Bombyx mori: one gene and its partner. The protein of the gene in region 2 interacts with the protein of the main gene of each other region in a pairwise test. Links are inferred from orthologs where the notes say so. Each region holds a gene or a part of one and is shown on either strand. Other genes may lie near its edges.

Region 1 (9,509 bases), on a different chromosome or scaffold from region 2:
TAGGTGGACGAGCTCACAGCCCATCTGGTGTTAAGTGGTTACTGGAGCCCATAGACATCTAGAACGTAAATGCGCCACCCACCTTCAGATATAAGTTCTAAGGTCTCAAGTATAGTTACAACGGCTGCCCCACCCTTCAAACCGAAACGCATTACTGCTTCACGGCAGAAATAGGCAGGGTGGTGGTACCCACCCGCGCGGACTCACCTACCACCAGTAAAATTACAATTTATGGTAGTACTCGATAGCCAGCCTTCGAGATTTACGTTACCGTATGTCGATAAATTATGAAAGTTTCGAGTTCCTAGAACGTGACGATTCGATTGGGAAGTAGTACGGAAGTATGTAAATTCATTCGTGTTGCTGAAATTAATTCTTTTTACGGACGGTAGGGGCACTATTTAAATCCTATACATTTTTTCTGGATAGCGATATGAATACATACTTTTTCGATAGTCATTCGTGCTCGCCCCTAGATCCCCAAGTCACTCACTCGCTCGCTCGGTACTATATAGTTACTGAAGACCACAAACTTGAATATCGCGACCCATATTGAGTAATATAGCCACATTTGAATTTAACACGTTTCTATTAGCTCGACTTGTATCTATTTATACAACGCAATATTTCAACTGTAATTTTCATCCGATTAGCAATTTTAATTTGAATACGTACTTAGCAAGGACCAATAAAATAATTTTATTATTTCCATCGTACCCTGATTAGAAAAATCAGACCGAAAAAAATATTGTATTTTTTTGATCCGTATAGTTTACACTACTTTTACTTATTTTACTCTTGAAACTTATAGAAAATTTATACCTTTGGTAAAACTGTCTTGTCAAAATGATCATCCAGCGTAGGACCCGAGAAGTCCTGTTTGAAAACATCTTCTTCTTTATCCAAATAAAAGGCACCTCTAAAATTAGAAAATATAATCGTTATTAATTTTAATAGTTTTCACACTAAGCAAGTTTTTATGCTTCAAATTTTATGGTTAATAACTTTAATAATTTTCTTATTAAGCAAAATTATTTTTAATACAATTTTTAAAGTATGAATTTTACCTGTGATAATATTTCTGCAGAAACTTGTATTTTCCTTTGACTGCTTTATTTGTGACAACCTTTGGATTGATACGTTGTTCGAGGCGTCGCTCATCTTCGGTCATGTTGCGTAATCGTTCCAGAGTTAACATCTCTTTTTCGGCTCTGAAATAAAAATGAAAATGTTACACTGACTAAAAATCGACGGCCACTAAAATACATTAAAAATGTTTAATACTGACTAAAACTTTAGTCTCTTTAATATAACATTATTCGTTGTGAAACTTTAACATAGTTAATTTTATTAAAATTCCGAGACTGAATTCTTTAATCGTGCGATCTAAAAAATAAATTGTGATTTCAAATAACAATCACTGATAGAAAATCATTATCAGCTGCAGTCCTGACACGGGATTGACTAAATACATCAGCTGCAGTCTGAGATAATTTAGGCCAGAATAACATCTACGTGGATAAAATCTTAGCATATCTCAGCCTATCAGCATAACATCTACTTCACACAATCAAAACCCAAAACGTGGAACTCATATTTGAAATATGAGACGACTATTAATTTTAAAACAGAGTGAAGCATAAGTCTTGTACTAACTACATATGAGTCGTCTATTATCAAAGGCGGCAATCTGTACATTTGGACAAAAAATTTTTATTGATATGTCAATACAGATTTATTTGAATATAATCGTCTCCTTCAAAGAATACGGTTCAAAACCTGCATTAAATAAAGGTTAATAGTTAACCTGTTATTTATCTAAGATGTCGTTCCGAAGAGTTTTGTGACTGCCAATGGAATACAAAGTCAATAATTCGTTTTTCTGATTTACCAATCATTGTCCAAAAGTCAGATTGCCGGCTTTGATAATAGTCGACTCATATATACCATGGGTTAATAATAATACTCGGCAAATCTAAGGACCTCAGATTCTCACTTAGTAACTTAGCTTTTATTGCTCTAGCCAGGCACACTAGCTCTACCTACTGTAATGTTCAGAGAATACTGCTTCCCATCTTACAGTATATCTCTTAAAGGCCTTTGACGACATTGCGTATTGATGGTGAATACTGTTCTACCGTATAGCAGATACAGTTGAATTAACCTACAGTGTGCGCGCGAGTTCGTGTCCATCGGGGCCAGAGGTGACGCGCGGGGGGCAGCTCGCCCCGCCTCCGTCCGCCTCCCCGCGTTTGTCTGACGTTTAGTGTTGTCTTTGACAGTTGTGACGCGCGCTTATCGATATCAAAAATTTACGCTAACGCTATTGTGTTATTTCATGGTGAATAAACTACGACTACTTCGCTTCCAACAAGTTCAGGTAGAAAAAAACCTACACTGATTCGGACTCTGATCTGTCGGTTATCTTTTCATCTGATAGTAATTGAATTGGAATTTAAAAAATATTTTTCTCTATTAGAAATAAATAAGTAATTACTTACCACATTTATTTTATAATTTGCAAAATGACCTAGTTACAATAAACCAAATTGACAGCTATTGACTAAATCGGTAGTTATTATCGACACCATAATTAACTAGGTCACAGCACTACCGCATTCCTCAGGACGGACATGAACTCGCGCGCCTACTGTAGAAGAAAATAGCTTCCAAATGAATAATTTTAACTTACGCTTCCCTTTCTTCTTTATCTCGTTTGATACGTTTCATTTCACGCAACTTCCAAGCTTCATATTCCAGTTCGTCATTTTCATCATCTGTACATACATCATTTATATTCCCTTCTTTTTGTTCTCCCTAAAAGTATGTTTAAAAGATTGAAATTGTGAAGAATAAAAACAGTGTGAAAAATATTTGTTTTATTCGTAATTTCGCATCACTATTAATCAACGTTTTTATAAGAAAATATAAATCATCTAAAACTTCAGCAGTCAACAGACTATTGATGCATAATATACTTTTTTTTTATTGCCCTTGTAGGCATACCAGCATACGGCCCCCTTGATGAGTATTTACCGTCGCCCATGGACTGGGCCAGCAATGTCAGGGGCAGAACCCCGGCTGCTGCCTACTGAACCACCTGCCTTCTCCTAATACTTTGATATTAAGTGAAGCATCAATACACCACATTTATATACGTTCATATGTAAACAACATGTTTAAGACTTTATATACAAGGTTATGTTAGAGGAAGTCTGAAAGTGGCACCTGTGACAGAGAAGCTGAGGAGTGCACGTTTGGGATGGTATGGACATGTGATGAGACGGAATGAAAATGAGGTTGTTATGAGAGTGTTAACTATGAATGTGGAAGGATTTAGAGGAAGAGGTAGACCTAAGAAGAAATGGATGGATTGTGTGAAAGACGATATGGGTAGGAGGGGAGTGAGCGAAGAAATGGTATATGATAGAAGAGTATGGAAGGAGAAAACATGTTGCGCCAACCCCAGGTGACTGGGAGAAGGGCAGGATAATGATGATGATGATACAAGGTTACCGACAATCGTTAGTAAAACAATTATTACATATTGATTTTGATTTCATAAAATTTATATTTTAAAACCTGATACTAAACCTGAGCACCCCGCTGTTCAGACCGAATCGTTTCCTCTACTAATTTAAGGGCTTCCCGTCGCCTTTCTTCTTTTTCTTTCCGAGCTTCAGCCTCTTCTCTTTTCTGCTGTTTCATTTTACGTTCTCTCTCTGCCACTGTCATACGCTCCGATGCTCTTACAAATACTGGTTTCACCCTTGGCCCTGGAAAAGGCCAACTATACATAAATTATGCAGTGTACTATGATGGCATAACCTGTGAAATGCAATATTGAAATTTCTTTACTTTTACTTACCTCCATTTAGAAGAAGCCCACTAAATATGAAGCTTAATTTGAAGGGATTACTTGACGCTTCTAAGTAATATTTACAAGTTTTATAAAATTTGAATACTAACCAGTATCTTCTTCACTGTCTGTGTACTCTGTGTCTGATGAGCCGCTTTCCTCTTTGTCACCTTCCAACATTTCTTCATCTTCATCTCTACCGAGTACTTCTTTTTCAGCTTCCCTACCATTTAATAAATTGATAATTTTATTACATTCAGACGTATTTAATATTTAAGTTCGTAATGCACCTTTTTAAAAAAACACTTGTGCTAACAATGTCTTCCTTTTTTATTGCATAGTGATTGCATAGTGAAGGAACTCAAAACACTTGGAACTCATATATACTACAATGTGAAAACCACTACATTTCAACTACAGCAATCTCCCTTTTGGCTGGGTGGAGAGTCCCATATACTCTTTCAGGAGTTATATTTGAAAGCATAATTCATTTAAAATTATCTATTTCACTGTATTATTGTGAATTTAAAAACTAATATGTTCTACATTTACCTGGCTGCAAGTTTTGCTCTTAGAGCCTGTCTGCGTCTTTCAATCTCTTCCTCATCCAGTTCATCTTCACTCTCGGAACTATCCCTCACGTCATGATCACTGATCTCAGATTCTGCTTCAGGTTCTGCATCAATAATTTCAGGCTTGTGTTCGGCTCTACGCGGCGGTGATTGTGCAATATTACGGAGACGTCGTAATCGAGGATCATCAACCTTAAAAGTGAAATTATACATTTCTACAATGAAGTGAAAAAGATGCAATTAACCTTGACACTTCTGTTATGAGGTACAATTTAAGATGAGCTGCAGAGAGCAGTCCATTTATAGTATTTCTCATTAGTGTTGCTCTTTATAAGTTACCTCTTTCTCAGAATCGCTATGATGTTCTTCTTTGCGGGTGATTATTTGAGGTAAAACTTGTTTCCGTTCAGGTCTTTGTTGCTCTATAAAATCTTCTTCATCTGATTCCTCAGATGATGACATTCCTTGTGCATAGTCAGGCTTTTTTCCAGATATGTATCGCTGAACTTTCACCTTTTGCATCGAGATCTCACCTGAAAATGAAGCCAATTTATGTAAAATAAAATGAAAACTTTGGAAATGCTTCAACTAAGCTGCATTGATTAATGTGAAAATTTCGAATCAATTAACTTTATTTTTATAGAATGGAAGTTTGAAAGCCAGTTTTTTTTTAAATTCATTTTAGGAATACATTATCGTACCTTTTTCATTTCTTATCGGAATTGCTCCCGCTGTACTCTGAATGCCTGTAGGTTGTGCTGGTAGGACATTCATCTTGCCAGTGTTTTCGTTTATAAAACAATGATAGTAGCTACTAGACCCCAATTATTAAATTTTCATTAAATATAAATTACTTGATTTCACAAAGCCTTGTTCAGTTTAAAAGATATTTTACCCATTATTATCCTAAATTACAGTAACGATACGTTTAGTATGATTAGTACTAGCCACAGATAAGATACAGAATTTGACATTACTTCAACAAATTTTTTTCAAACACGCAAATACCCTGACCAAAGGAACAAAGGTCATACAGGCTGTTTTGTTTTAAAACTAAAACCATATCTGTTGTATGAAACTGCTTTAAGCGAAGAGGAAAGTCATAACTTTTTCACATTTACTAAATAAGAAGTAAAGTAATTTGATAAAAAAAAAATCCTGTTGAAGACTTTTTGCAAATTTATTTGCAACAGTGACCACTGATGGTGTAGTGTGTTAATGAGGCTTGCATACATGGCTACAGGACAAGCTGTAGAACATTGTTTATACATAAACCTTTAAAGTATACTTCAGTGCGTTTCATTGACCTATATAGTAGGGACACGACATATTTTTCTATACGTACAATTGCTTATACAAATAACACCCATTTTGAAGGCACACACATAAACATATATCTATCTCGTTCTTACTCAGCACGAGTCAGCACTGTAACTCGCAGGAAAACAATATAACAGTATTTCAGTGCGTACATAAAATGAAACATGAATATACGTAAATGTCTAATGAGGCCGAAAATCCGTCATGCTTAGCGCACCAAATGTCATTGTCACGTCAGTTCAACCGGTTTTTTTTTAATGCTTTGAATGGTGGACGATCTCACAGCCCACCTGGTGCTAAGTGGTTACTGGAGCCCATGGACATCTATAACGTAAATGCGCCACCCACCTTGAGATATAAGTTCTAAGATCTCAGTATAGTTACAACGGCTGCCCCACCCTTCAAACCGAAACGCATTGTTGCTTCACGGCAGAAATAGGCAGGGCGATGGTGCCTACCCGCGCGGAGTCACAAGAGGTCCTACCACCAGGATTTTGGGTTATTGACTTTGATATCGATTTAATATGATTGCTTATATAACATTTCTTATTTTATCATGCTACCCCGCTTAAACCATACAAAAATAATAATTATAACATATTTAATAGGATCTCAAGAAAGTAGATACACCAAAACTAATAACTATATGATAATATATTTAAATTCATTATGGAGCACTCATCCTAAAAATCGGACACAATTTTTTCATATATCTTCTTCTTCTTCTTTATTTTTGGCTCTGGCACGTTTTGTGCATTAGCCAGCGTCAAGTAATAACGTTTTTATAATTCGCCGTTTTATTTATTTACAGTTTATAAATAATAAAAAACGAAGGAAACTTATCGCAACAAAACATAAATGATTTAGAACGAATTGAATTTACAAAAAAAATCAGAATAATTATATAACAGGGAAAATAAATCAAAATTATAGTTTAATGTTATTATTTAAAATAAACCTACTTAAAATACTATATACAAGGGGATTAAAATCTCGAAGAAGTAAAGAAATATTAGTAGGAAGGGGAATAGAGAGAGATACTAAAGAAGTATATAAGGAAGAATGATCATATAAAGAACAAGCAAAGAAAATATGATTCAGGTCACAATAACTCTCGCCACACTCACAGGCGGTACTAGTTACGATACCAAGTTTGTGCAAATGAACTGGAAGGCTGTTATGTCCCAGACGCATACGAATTATAGTAGAAGTGGCGGTTTTACCAAACGACAATTTGGCAAACCATGGCTTCCTGGGAACGGAAGACTGTATAGCATACAAGAAACGACCCTTAATCCGGCCGCTCTCTTCCCAACACATATTCCATGATTTGTGGAGGCATATGCCGGGCAAAGCAGCAAGATCATGGCCAAAATTCTTGTACGGGTATACGTCACCGGTCACAGTTGCACTGTTGGCCAAACTGTCAGCTTTCACATTTCCAGATATGCCACAGTGACTAGGTACCCAACAAAATGATACTAAATAGTTGTGTGATTGGCAGTGCAACAGCTTTCTCTTACATTCAAATATTACATGAAAAAAAGGGTTAAGTTTTAGTGAAAATTTTGCTAAGCTCTGTAATGCACTTAAGGAATCAGTAAATACAACGGTTTTTTTTAGTTTGAAAGACAGCACATATTCAAGAGCTTTTAATAGTCCAAAACATTCACCGGTAAAGACCGATGATTCCGGAGGTAATTTAATTTTCTGAACTATGTTGTACTGTTTGTGATACACTCCAACACCAACACACCCACTGGAGTGTTTAGATGCATCTGTATAAATTTGATGCCAGTTAGGCCATTTACTATTGACATTGCAATTAAAATTTTCATTGGCATTAAAATCAGATTTTTCAATGCCAAGAGAAAAGCAAATCACTGGAGAAAGTAAGAGAGAATCATAAGAAGCGCCAAATAAAGGAAGCACCTGAAAAGAATGAGTTGGGGCTTGTAATTGTTTGAATTTCAGGAAACTTTTTAACAGACAAGGTAAAGGTTTATGTGAAGAGGGTACTTTTTTAGAAAGAAACTCTAGTTTCGAAATGAGGGGATGATTATGGAACTGAACAATTCTAAAAATGAATCTATCGGACAGATATTGACGTCTTAAGTTTAAAGGAGGGTCACAACATTCTATTTGCAGAGCATTAACCGGACTCGATTTCATGGCACCAGAAACAATCCTCAAAGCCCTAGACTGTATGAGATCTAGTTTTCTAAAGCCAGCCACATTACCTGGGTCTAAGAAAAAGGTCCCAAAATCCAGTACACTTCTAATGACAGCATTATACACCAACCTCAGTGTAGCCGGGTGAGCACCCCACCAAACCCCACCGAGACATCTCAGCATGTTCAAGTTTCGCTCACATTTACTAACCACAAATTCGCAGTGTGGTTGACCCGTTAGTTTAGAATCAAGAATAGCTCCTAAGAACTTAACTTGATTCCTAATGGGTAATATATCCCCATCATATGTTATATTAAGTGAGCAAGGAGTACGGGATTTGGTGAAAAGTACAACAGTACTTTTTGAGGGAGACAGATCAAGGCCATTTGCATCCATCCAGATTTTTAGCAAAGATAAAGAGGAGGAAACATATCGTTCAGCAGTACTTACAGACATATCAGAGGCATAAATAACCAAGTCATCGGCATACTGTAATAAACTTGCTGAATCTCCGACTGAACCTTCTAGATCATATGTATAAATATTGTACAATAAAGGACTCAGAACAGACCCCTGTGGCAAACCTCTCCATACCAGCCTACTAGGCTTATAAGGGCCGCCAACATCTAAAATAATTTTCCTCTCCGAAAGAAGATTTACAATGGAATTAGTTAAAAAATCGGGAACCTTTAATTTATCTAATTTACTTTTTAGAATATGTAATAGAACGTTATCATAAGCCGAATTAATATCCAAAAAAGCAGCAACTACTGACTTTTTATCTGAGAAAGCATTACGAATATCCGTAACTAATATGCCTAAATTGTCCCCCACACTTTTACCTTTTCGAAATCCAAACTGAGTTTGGGACAGATATTCGTTATTTTCTATATACCATTCAAGCCGATTTTTAATTAAATGTTCAACAACTTTTGTGATCACCGATGACAAAACTATCGGACGATATGATTTGATATCAGATTGTACCTTAGACGGCTTTAAAAATGGCAATACTATTTGACTTCGCCATGACGGTGGAATGTCACCTGTCAGTAAAATTTTATTTATTAAATTTAAAAAGTAATTTAATCCTTTTTCGCCAAGGTGAGACAAAAAGGAATATGGAATCCCATCTTCCCCTGGAGCACTGTCTTTGACGTGATTTAATACACCTTTTAACTCCACTAACGTAAAAGTTAGATTTAGAGAAGGGGCATCAGAGTTATATTGCTTATAAGACAGGATAGGATCGTTGAGTGGAGCAGAAGGAGGAGCCAAACGATCAAGGAATTGATCTGCTAATTCTATAGGCAGCAACAATGCGTTAGAAGGATTGACAGCTGATCTAAATCTTTTGATATTTCGCCATATGACAGTAGCATGTGTTTCAGGTGATATAGTGCTACAAAATTTCCTCCACCCGTCAAATTTCTTTTTTTTAAATAGTTTTCTAACCTCTTTCATTATAGTCATTAATGCCTCGTAGTTTTTCATAGACATATTATTGCGATAATTACGCTCTGCTGCCTTGCGTTTCTGTATAGCATTGGTACATTCTTCATCCCACCACGGTGGAGATGACAACT
Region 2 (8,988 bases):
CAGTACCCACCCCCGCCCCGGGGTGTCCAACCACGCACCTTACATGCGTCTTCTTGTTTTTACCATCGCACCGCCCGCCACCGGAGTAGGGTCCATCCATACTACCTGGAGCCACTGCGGTCATCCACAGTGCGTTTCCAGAGGTATTTTTTGCCACGTACCATTCGGCTATGGAATGAACTCCCCTCCACGGTGTTTCCCGAGCGTTATGACATGTCCTTCTTCAAATGAGGCTTGTGGAGAGTATTAAGCGGTAGGCAGCGGCTTGGCTCTGCCCCTGGCATCGCTGAAGTCCATGGGCGACGGTAACCACTCACCATTAGGTGGGCCGTGTGCACGTCTGCCTACAAGGGCAATAAAACAAAACTTTGCTCTTAACACGTTGACTGCCGTGTAGGTCACCGATGCCCTACGTGGCACACTGAAGCAACTATGTCGATTTCTCTTTGTTTTTCTTACGTATATTCAGTAGACTAGGAAAGACGAATCCGAAGATACTGACAATGAATCTATTTCTAAGATACCTAAAAGACTAAAACATACATTATCAAACAAAAGAAGGCAAAGTTAAGCAATCTAGGCGCTAAGTAACAGAAATCGACATAATCACTTGAGTACGCCGCGTAGGACACCGGTGACCTACATGGCAGTGTATGGGTTAATAATCTTACCGGTGGTAGGACCTCTTGTGAGTCCGCACGGGTAGGTACAACCACCCTGCCTATTCCTGCCGTGAAACAGTAATGCGTTTTGGTTTGAAGGGTGGACAGCTGTTGTAACTATACTGAGACCTTAGAACTTATACCTCAAGGTGGGTGGCGCATTTACGTTGTAGATGTCTATGGGCTCCAGTAACTACTTAACGCCAGGTAGGCTGTGAGCTCGTCCACCCATCTAAGCAATAAAAAAAATATCGACAGGTCCCGTAGCTTCGATTTGTGAAAATCGTTCAAAAAAAGCAAAAGATATTGCCAACATAAAAATAAAAATGGCTGACGAAAGAAAAAAAAGTAATACAAACGTAACTCAATTAATCTGTAACGGAAGGAACGTTAAAGAGCTTACCGATTATTTTGAAAATATCACCGGTCTCCAATCGAACAGAAATTATATCGATACAGCGTTGAAACGTGCGAACTACAAAATCGATTCTAGTTTGAAGCATTCGAATAATTGCTTCGCACAATATAATGCCAAAAAATACGATACTAAATTTAATGGCAAAAGAAAACAGTTTCCCATAGCGAAGTCGCAAATCTCGAATCCAAATTTATCTCAATATCGAAATAAAAATCTCAGTTTGTACTCGATATGGAAAGATAAATTGTACAAGAGAGCATCTTTAGACGATGAGATCGATATTAAGAAAAGCGATCCTAAATCGTACAACTTGAAAGCATTTGTGAAATCGACTGTACTGACGTGCGTTTACGTGCTGCAATACATTCTGTGATCCCGAGCTCGTCCCGCGAAGTATAGTCCGTCAGATGCGGCGTGGCGCCCGGGACAGTTGTCGGCGGGACGTCATTAGGAAATAGGTTTGATATAACAAACCATCTGTCAAACGTATCACGCTGTAGTTAACGAACTATAACTATATAGTGTATTTAGATTTTTAATACGCTTTTATTAGCTTCAGACGTATGTATGTTTGTAACGGAATCTATGAACATGATTTTGACCCCCTTCAAAACGTCGGATTAACTCGAAATTTGGTATACTTATTAAGGACCGATGACAATACAATATTAGAAAAAAATTAAAAAAATTGATATTCAACTAATGAATGAAAAATATATAATAGTTTTAAAATACTAACAAAGCACGCTTTTATAGAAAATCCAACTAAAAAAACAGAAAATAAATTTTAATAAATTTGAATTAAAAATAATATAAGAAAAATGATTTTATTGTAAAAAAGCGTGGGGTGCATGGTATAAGTAGTTATAAATATTTTATAAACAGACATGAGCAGAAGGGTTATTTTGATAATATCCTGAAAAGCACCTCACGCTTTTTTACAATAAAATAATTTTTCTTACACTATTTTTAATTCAAATTTATTAAAATTTATTTTCTATTTTTTAGTTGGATTTTCTATAAAAGCGTGCTTTGTTAGTTTTCTTAAACTATTATTTAAGATAAATTGGGTTGCATCTAAGCAATGTTCTAGTTAGTTAGTGGACAGTTTACAGCTGTAGTGATTGTGTAGTAGAATTATCGATAAAGAAAATAAGACTGACTCGTTGGTGCAATAGTTAACGGCCTTGACTGTCGCGTCGAAGGACGTGGGTTCGATTCCCGCACCGGGAAAACGTTCGTGTGAAGAGCAAATTTGTTTGCTCATTATCTGGGTGCTTATTATCTAACGTCGTCGACTAATTTAGAAGTCGTCGTGGCCTAAAGGATAAGACGTCCGGTGCATTCGTGTTGAAGCGATGTAACGGTGTTCGAATCCCGCAGGCGGGTACCAATGTGGGTGTTTTGTTCCTAGGTATTTATTATTATTTGAAGAATTTTAATAAGGTTCATTTCACCCACTCGTCATTGTTGGGTTTTGAAGATTATATCTCCACGCCCTCACTAGTAACCAAAGATAATACGTGTCTGTGTGTCGTTAACTGCGTGCGGGCCCCGGCAGTCATGTCCCGCAACCCCTTAACTTGTTCTTCACACTGCCCTTCATTCACTCATGTTCATTCTTCATTCGTTCATTCAGTCGTAGAACCTTGTAGATTTTGATCTGAAAAATGAGCACCTACTGCCCATTCTTTATCTCTGTCGTCGCAAAGTGTGCAGTGCCTCGCGTCGCAATGCACACGCCAGGTGTAGTCCACAGCAGTCCGGGCCGAGTCGCCAGCCAGTTCCCCTTATTGAACTGGTGATTTACTGGTGGTAGGACCTCTTGTGAGTCTGCGCGGGTAGGTACCACCGCCCCGCCTATTTCTGCCGTGAAGCAACAATGCGTTTCGGTTTGAAGGGTGGGGCAGCCGTTGTAACTATATTGAGACCTTAGAACTTATATCTCAAGGTGGGTGGCGCATTTACGTTGTAGATGTCTATTGGCTCCAGTAACCACTTAACACCAGGTGGGCTGTGAGCTGGTCCACCCATTTAAGCCAAAAAATAATAATAGTGTAATTCAATTTGACATTGTTTTGCAGAATTCTAATATACCAGCACTTAGTAGTCGTTTTCTCGACCTCATCGAGAGTTTAATGTGCTCGCAGTGATGGAGACCACGGAGGAGCGCGGCGCCGAGCTGGCCGAGCTCCAGGAGCAGGTCATCAAGCTGAAGTCCCTTCTGTCGACCAAGCGCGAGCAGATCGCGACGCTGCGCACCGTGCTCAAGTCCAACAAGAACACGGCCGAGGTGGCGCTCGCGAACCTCAAGTCCAAGTACGAGACGGAGAAGACGATCGTCACGGAGACCATGCTCAAGCTCAGGAACGAGCTGCGCCTGCTCAAGGAGGACGCCGCTACGTTCTCGAGTCAGTACTGGCTTTTTTTTTTTTGCCGTTGTAGGCGATCACTAAATACTTAGAGGCCCGACACGTTGGACTGACCAGATCCGCACTACCCTCGATACCACAGTTCACGATGCTCTACACTCGGCGGCAGATAGAGGGAAATGGCGTGGAATGATCCGGAATAAACTCTTGTTGCGAGGGGGTGGTCACGACCCTCAGTATTGAGGAAACCAAACTAAGAAGAAGAAGGCAGACGAGCATACGGCCCACCTGATGGTGAGTGGTTACTGTCGCCCGTGGACTTCAGCAATGCCAGGGGCAGAGCCAAGCCACTGCCTACCGTTGAAAATGTTTCAAGGTGGTGTCTCAAAGTCAACATTAGTTGGGCTATGAGCTCGTTCACTCATCTTCTTCTATCTATATATAAAAACGAATTGCTGTTCGTTAGTCTCGCTAAAACACGAGAACGGCTGGACCGATTTGGCTAATTTTGGTTTTCAATTATTTGTGGAAGTCCAGAGAAGGTAGGAAGGTAGATAAAAATGAAAATGCTCTGAATTAAATAAAAATAACAATTTTGTTTTTCCTCTGATGTGTCCTCCGTCGGACGGATTCCTTTTGTTTTAAGTTTATGTTATACAAAAGCTTAGGTCTTTTATTTATCGATTGAGGCACTACGAAGTCTGCCGGGTCGGCTAGTGTGAAATAAAATAGCTAGATGTGTGAGCGTCCGTTCCAGGCTTGCGTGCCATGTTCGCGGCGCGCTGCGAGGAGTACGTGACGCAGGTGGACGAGCTGACGCAGGCGCTCTCCGGGGCCGAGGATGAGAAGAAGACCCTCAACCAGCTGCTGCGCCTCGCCGTGCAGCAGAAGCTGGCGCTCACGCAACGGCTCGAGGAGCTGGAGGTAATGGTCCTACTAACTAAATATAATAATAATATTAATTTACTCCACAATACAAATAACTTTCCAATTGACATGTCCTTCTTCAAACGAGGCTTGTGGAGAGTATTAAGCAGTAGGCAGCGGCTTGGCTCTGCTCCTGGCTTTGCTGAAGTCCATGGGCGACGGTAACCACTTACCATCAGGTGGGGCGTACGCTTGTCTGCCTACAAAGGCAACAAAAAAAAATATATGACCTAAATTTCTAATTATATCTAAACAATATTACAATTAATTATACTGACAGTGGAGATAAAAAGGCCGCGGCCCAGCTTTGTGGTAGCTGAAACTATCGCTGCTATTCTGCCGCTGCCTGTAATTTTAATCTATAAAATAATAAACTAAACTAATAAAACTAAAATAATATAGACTAATCTATAAAAAATAATCTAATAATACCTAAATTTAAACATGTGGCATAATCTACAAAATCCCTGCCTCCGCACTTTGTTGCTCAAGTAGAAATTCCCTACAAAAATATTTGAAAGGGTTAACTAACTAAATATAATAATCCGTCGACATCGAGCCAAAGGGTCGGATGTTCAAGGGTGTTTGAGATCATGTCCATCATACGAGCAACACACGCCGCGTCGGACACAACCGTCTAACCTCAGATGTAGGTAACCTGATTTAGGACTGGTGGTAGGACATTTTGTGAGTCCGCGCGGGTAGGTACCACCGCCCTGCCTATTTCTGCCGTGAAGCAGTAATGCATTTCGGTTTGAAGCGTGGGGCAGCCTTAACTTAACCACTTAACACCAGGTGGGCTGTGAGCTCGTCTACCCATCTAAGCAATAAAAAAAACATGTGATCAGACTCGATATGTTCGCGAATGCCGCGTCACGTAAGAGGAACTAGACATATTTGTGGATTGCTGCGTCACCGGTCCGCTGTGACGTCATCTGACAGTGACGTGTGTCGCAGGTGGACCGCGAGATGCGCTCCCGGCGCGTGCCCAAGGCGGGCGGGGTGCGGGGCGGCAGGGGGAGGGACTTCTAGCGACTGCTGGCGCCGGTCAAGGCCGTCGCCGTCCTGCTGCGCCGTCTGCTGCGGACCTAGGGCTCCAGCCTCACCGGCCCGGTCCCCTATTTGTACGTTTTGTAAACTTTTTAATGTAATGTGAATCGCGCCGCACGTCCGGCCCCCGTCGCGGCGCCGGTCCGGGCCTCGTCCGGCGCCGCTGGAACGGTCAAATTGCGGCGGGCTGCCGGACGCGGGCGCGGCGGTCCCCAGCCCGGGGCCGCGCCCGGCCTACCCCTTCCCTTTCCTCGGGACATATTTTCGTATCGATTTCTTCACTCGATATCGCGCGTCGACGCGAATCGATTATTTTTGTAACAGGACCGGTGTATTTTGTTAAGCGAATATTTATTGGCGCCGTTGTGGTCCGCGGTCTCCCCGCGCGCCGGACGGACGCGGCCCCCCGTTACGTCCAAATGTGAAATTTCTAAAGAAAAAGAATCATTATCGTCGACATCCATCCATTGCGTGCGCAAAAAGACTATGTAATCTGTTTACCGGGCGACGCGTCGGTCGCGTCGTCTCTGTCTCGTCCATGTTGTTGTAGTCGTGATGTTTGAGTTTGTTGGTGGATCACTGTGCCGTCCCAGTCGCGTCCATGCTGTCCACGCGCCGGCCGACTCTCCGTCTCTGTCGCACCCCCTCTGTCGGCAGTGTCGACCTCTCGCTCGCACAGCGCTCAACGCATTGCTCACGGAGTCGACCGGCGCATCTATTGATAAGTCGAAATTTAAAAAGTTATTGAATGTTAATGGTTTCGGTTGAGTCGCGCCGGGGCGCCCCGGCCTCCGCCCCCGGCCGCCGCCCCGGCCAGTAGAGTAGCTAGTAGCTCGCGACAGGCAGCTAGCCCGCGACTTGCATTTATTGTTTAACATAGTGTTTGTTAAATTAGACTAATTATTATTATATTAGGTCGTTCTTCGTGTACTTAAAAAGACGAACTTACCCGTTCTATACATAGCTTTAGCGTATCAAGTATTCTGTCCCCTCTACTAAGTATTATCGTTAGCCGTCGGTCCCCCCGCGTGGGGGGCGGCCCCCGACCCGAGCAGCGCGGCTCTGATATGTTTATTGTATTGGTTGTTAGTTTTGTTACTAAAAGTATTACTGCATGTGTTTCCGCATCCGTCTCTTTCTCATTGACATTGTTACATTTAGACTGACATGTTCTTTTACACGGTTTTCTGGTAATATTTATTATTAAAAATAGTTATTTATTTGACTTAAATATTATAAATAGATGTTGTATATTTTTCATTATTAAGAATTAGATAAACTTTTTACTATGTTTCGTGCAATGAAAGAAAAAAATGTTTTTTAGTATATAGTATTATTATGTATAGTACAGATTCAGTATTTTTTTGTTTGTTTATGGTTTACTATCGCTGTTGTCTGCTGTATGGGGTTAGAGCGATTAACCAAATATTATTATTTCCTTTGTGTAACAATTTTTTAGTACACTTATATTTGTGTAGGCATATTATTATTTTATATTGATTAGAAAGAGAACTTAGTGAAGAATTATTGATTTTGTTATTCGAAGATTTTTTTATATAGTATATTATTATCGGTGCGGCGTAGACATGGTCTGTCGGACGAGCGCGCATGAATGTTCCCGGTGCCCTGTCTCTGCTTTCTGCGACCTGTGGTTGTTAACTTTAAAACACCTTGCGAGGGCCGAAAATTAAATATTTATTATCGAATTTAGGGACAATGTTCCGATTAATAATTTAGTGCGTTTTTCGCGAAGATTGAGAACCAGCGATTTGGTAGTTTATCTATGATCAAGGTCCGCGTAGGGTCGCACATCGATGGCCCGACGGACTTCTCAGGCGACGCTTCGTACAGATTACAAGTCTTTTGTAAAAAAAAACGCTTACAGAGCTTTCAGTATGCAATAAGTGTTGTGGGACAACAAATTGTATACGTCACATTCGCACTGTTAAATATTCCAATAGAGCTTAAGTAAAAAACGTTAAAGCTCTTTCACTGCTGCGGAGGGTAGATTGCCCTCAACATGGCCGCCGTCAGTTTCGCGTCAGTATCGCGTCAGTGTTGCGTCAGTATCACGCCAGTGCATCGCGGTGCGAATGTCGCGCGTTGTTATCGGGAACATATCATGGTGGAACGGATTTATTTTTTTGACCCGTCTGAAGGCGCACATGTCACAATGACTGATATAAATCATGTATGAGATATAATAAATTATTATTATATTTATATGTTTTGTTTCAATTACTTTCGATTCAGATTTTAAAATGTATAACTATAAAAGACGTTGATCGATTTTAAGTCCTGTTTTAGAGACGATAAAGATGACTTTACGTACGAAACCTTTTGGCTATCAAAAATTTAGATAAATTCAATGCCAGTTAAATAAACTATGTACCTACTCGTAATTGACTGCATATTACGTATTTTGAAATAAATTAAACTAGTTCTTTTTTTTTTGACTGACTAGGCTTTGTTACGTTACTTCCCACATGAACACTTCCTAAGGTGAGATCGTGGTGGTACGATCGGCTCACCAGGTTTTAAGTGGGTACCAAAGCTCTTGGACATTGCCACGTGAAACCCACCGTCGTCCTTGACACGTGAAGTCAATTACCAATTTAGTCTCAATTGTAGTGTTGGCGCATCCTCTAAAGCAGTACTACTCTTCTGCATTAGTTGAACGAGCTTCTGGTAGTAGTAGTAATAGTATTCCACATGTGACGATATCATTGTACAATTTTAATTGTAATCGATTATTAACCCTATCCAGCTTTCTGTAGATCTTTCTTTACCAATGTATCCATCTTGAAAGAGCTACAAATCAAACATAAGGCTTTCGTCGATTGCGCAATTGCGAATCCTTCATATGTTTGGACATATCATCTGTAATGAAAGCTCATTTGAACGACAAATGGATCAAGGAAGCGTATCTCACAAGGTGGACAGACTTGATTAAGTAATCTACCAAAGTGTTCCCTTACTGAATGTACACGTACCGCCACCAATAGAGAGAGATGGAGAAGAGAGAGGCCTCGCAGAAGCCGCAACCAAGTAATAAGAGATGCATAACCACGACCACTCCGCCGGGAGTGCACGACTGAGAAGAACCTTTCTGTCGCCGACACGCGTTCTCTCATCAACGTATTAAGGTAAGTTAAACAGAGTTTCGTGTATAACATGAATTGAAACCAGGACAATATTTTTAGCTTCATCTTCGAGGACAATGCTATGAATTAAAAAAATATTTATGAAAGTTGAAAGATCGACTCTCCAATCCTTCGGAGAGCCACCGCGACTTGGCTACTGAAACTATGGCGGAAAAAAAACAAAACATATCGTTCGTAAACATTTATTGCTTTGTACATTAATTGGTACATAAATTAAAAATGTATCCTTATAAAAACGTACGTATGTACACAAGATTTATACATAAAACACAGTACTACATACTCATCAACGTGTATTTACTTGAAAGTAACTATCCAATTGAAAACGTCTTAAAGAACTACATTCAATTTATCAGAATAAAAATGTAAATATTACTGCGGACTTTTTGGCGGGA

Evidence for each region.
Region 1: the proteins of protein bicaudal D (region 2) and microfibrillar-associated protein 1 interact in binary tests that used the Homo sapiens proteins (3 or more experiments, as listed by UniProt). The link is inferred for Bombyx mori from reciprocal best matches to the Homo sapiens genes BICD2 and MFAP1.

The regions. Positions count from the first base shown.
Region 1 is NC_085127.1:8,419,940-8,429,448, forward strand, and holds the start of microfibrillar-associated protein 1, read right to left. Parts: upstream 6,289-9,509; 5' UTR 5,206-6,288; coding exon 5,133-5,205; intron 4,965-5,132; coding exon 4,771-4,964; intron 4,624-4,770; coding exon 4,412-4,623; intron 4,083-4,411; coding exon 3,970-4,082; intron 3,777-3,969; coding exon 3,595-3,776; intron 2,818-3,594; coding exon 2,693-2,817; intron 1,212-2,692; coding exon 1,068-1,211; intron 920-1,067; coding exon 823-919; intron 1-822. UniProt on the Homo sapiens protein: Involved in pre-mRNA splicing as a component of the spliceosome.
Region 2 is NC_085125.1:2,135,534-2,144,521, forward strand, and holds the end of protein bicaudal D, read left to right. Parts: intron 1-920; exon of another isoform or gene 921-1,538; intron 1,539-3,230; coding exon 3,231-3,491; intron 3,492-4,209; coding exon 4,210-4,376; intron 4,377-5,336; coding exon 5,337-5,411; 3' UTR 5,412-7,652; downstream 7,653-8,988. UniProt on the Homo sapiens protein: Acts as an adapter protein linking the dynein motor complex to various cargos and converts dynein from a non-processive to a highly processive motor in the presence of dynactin.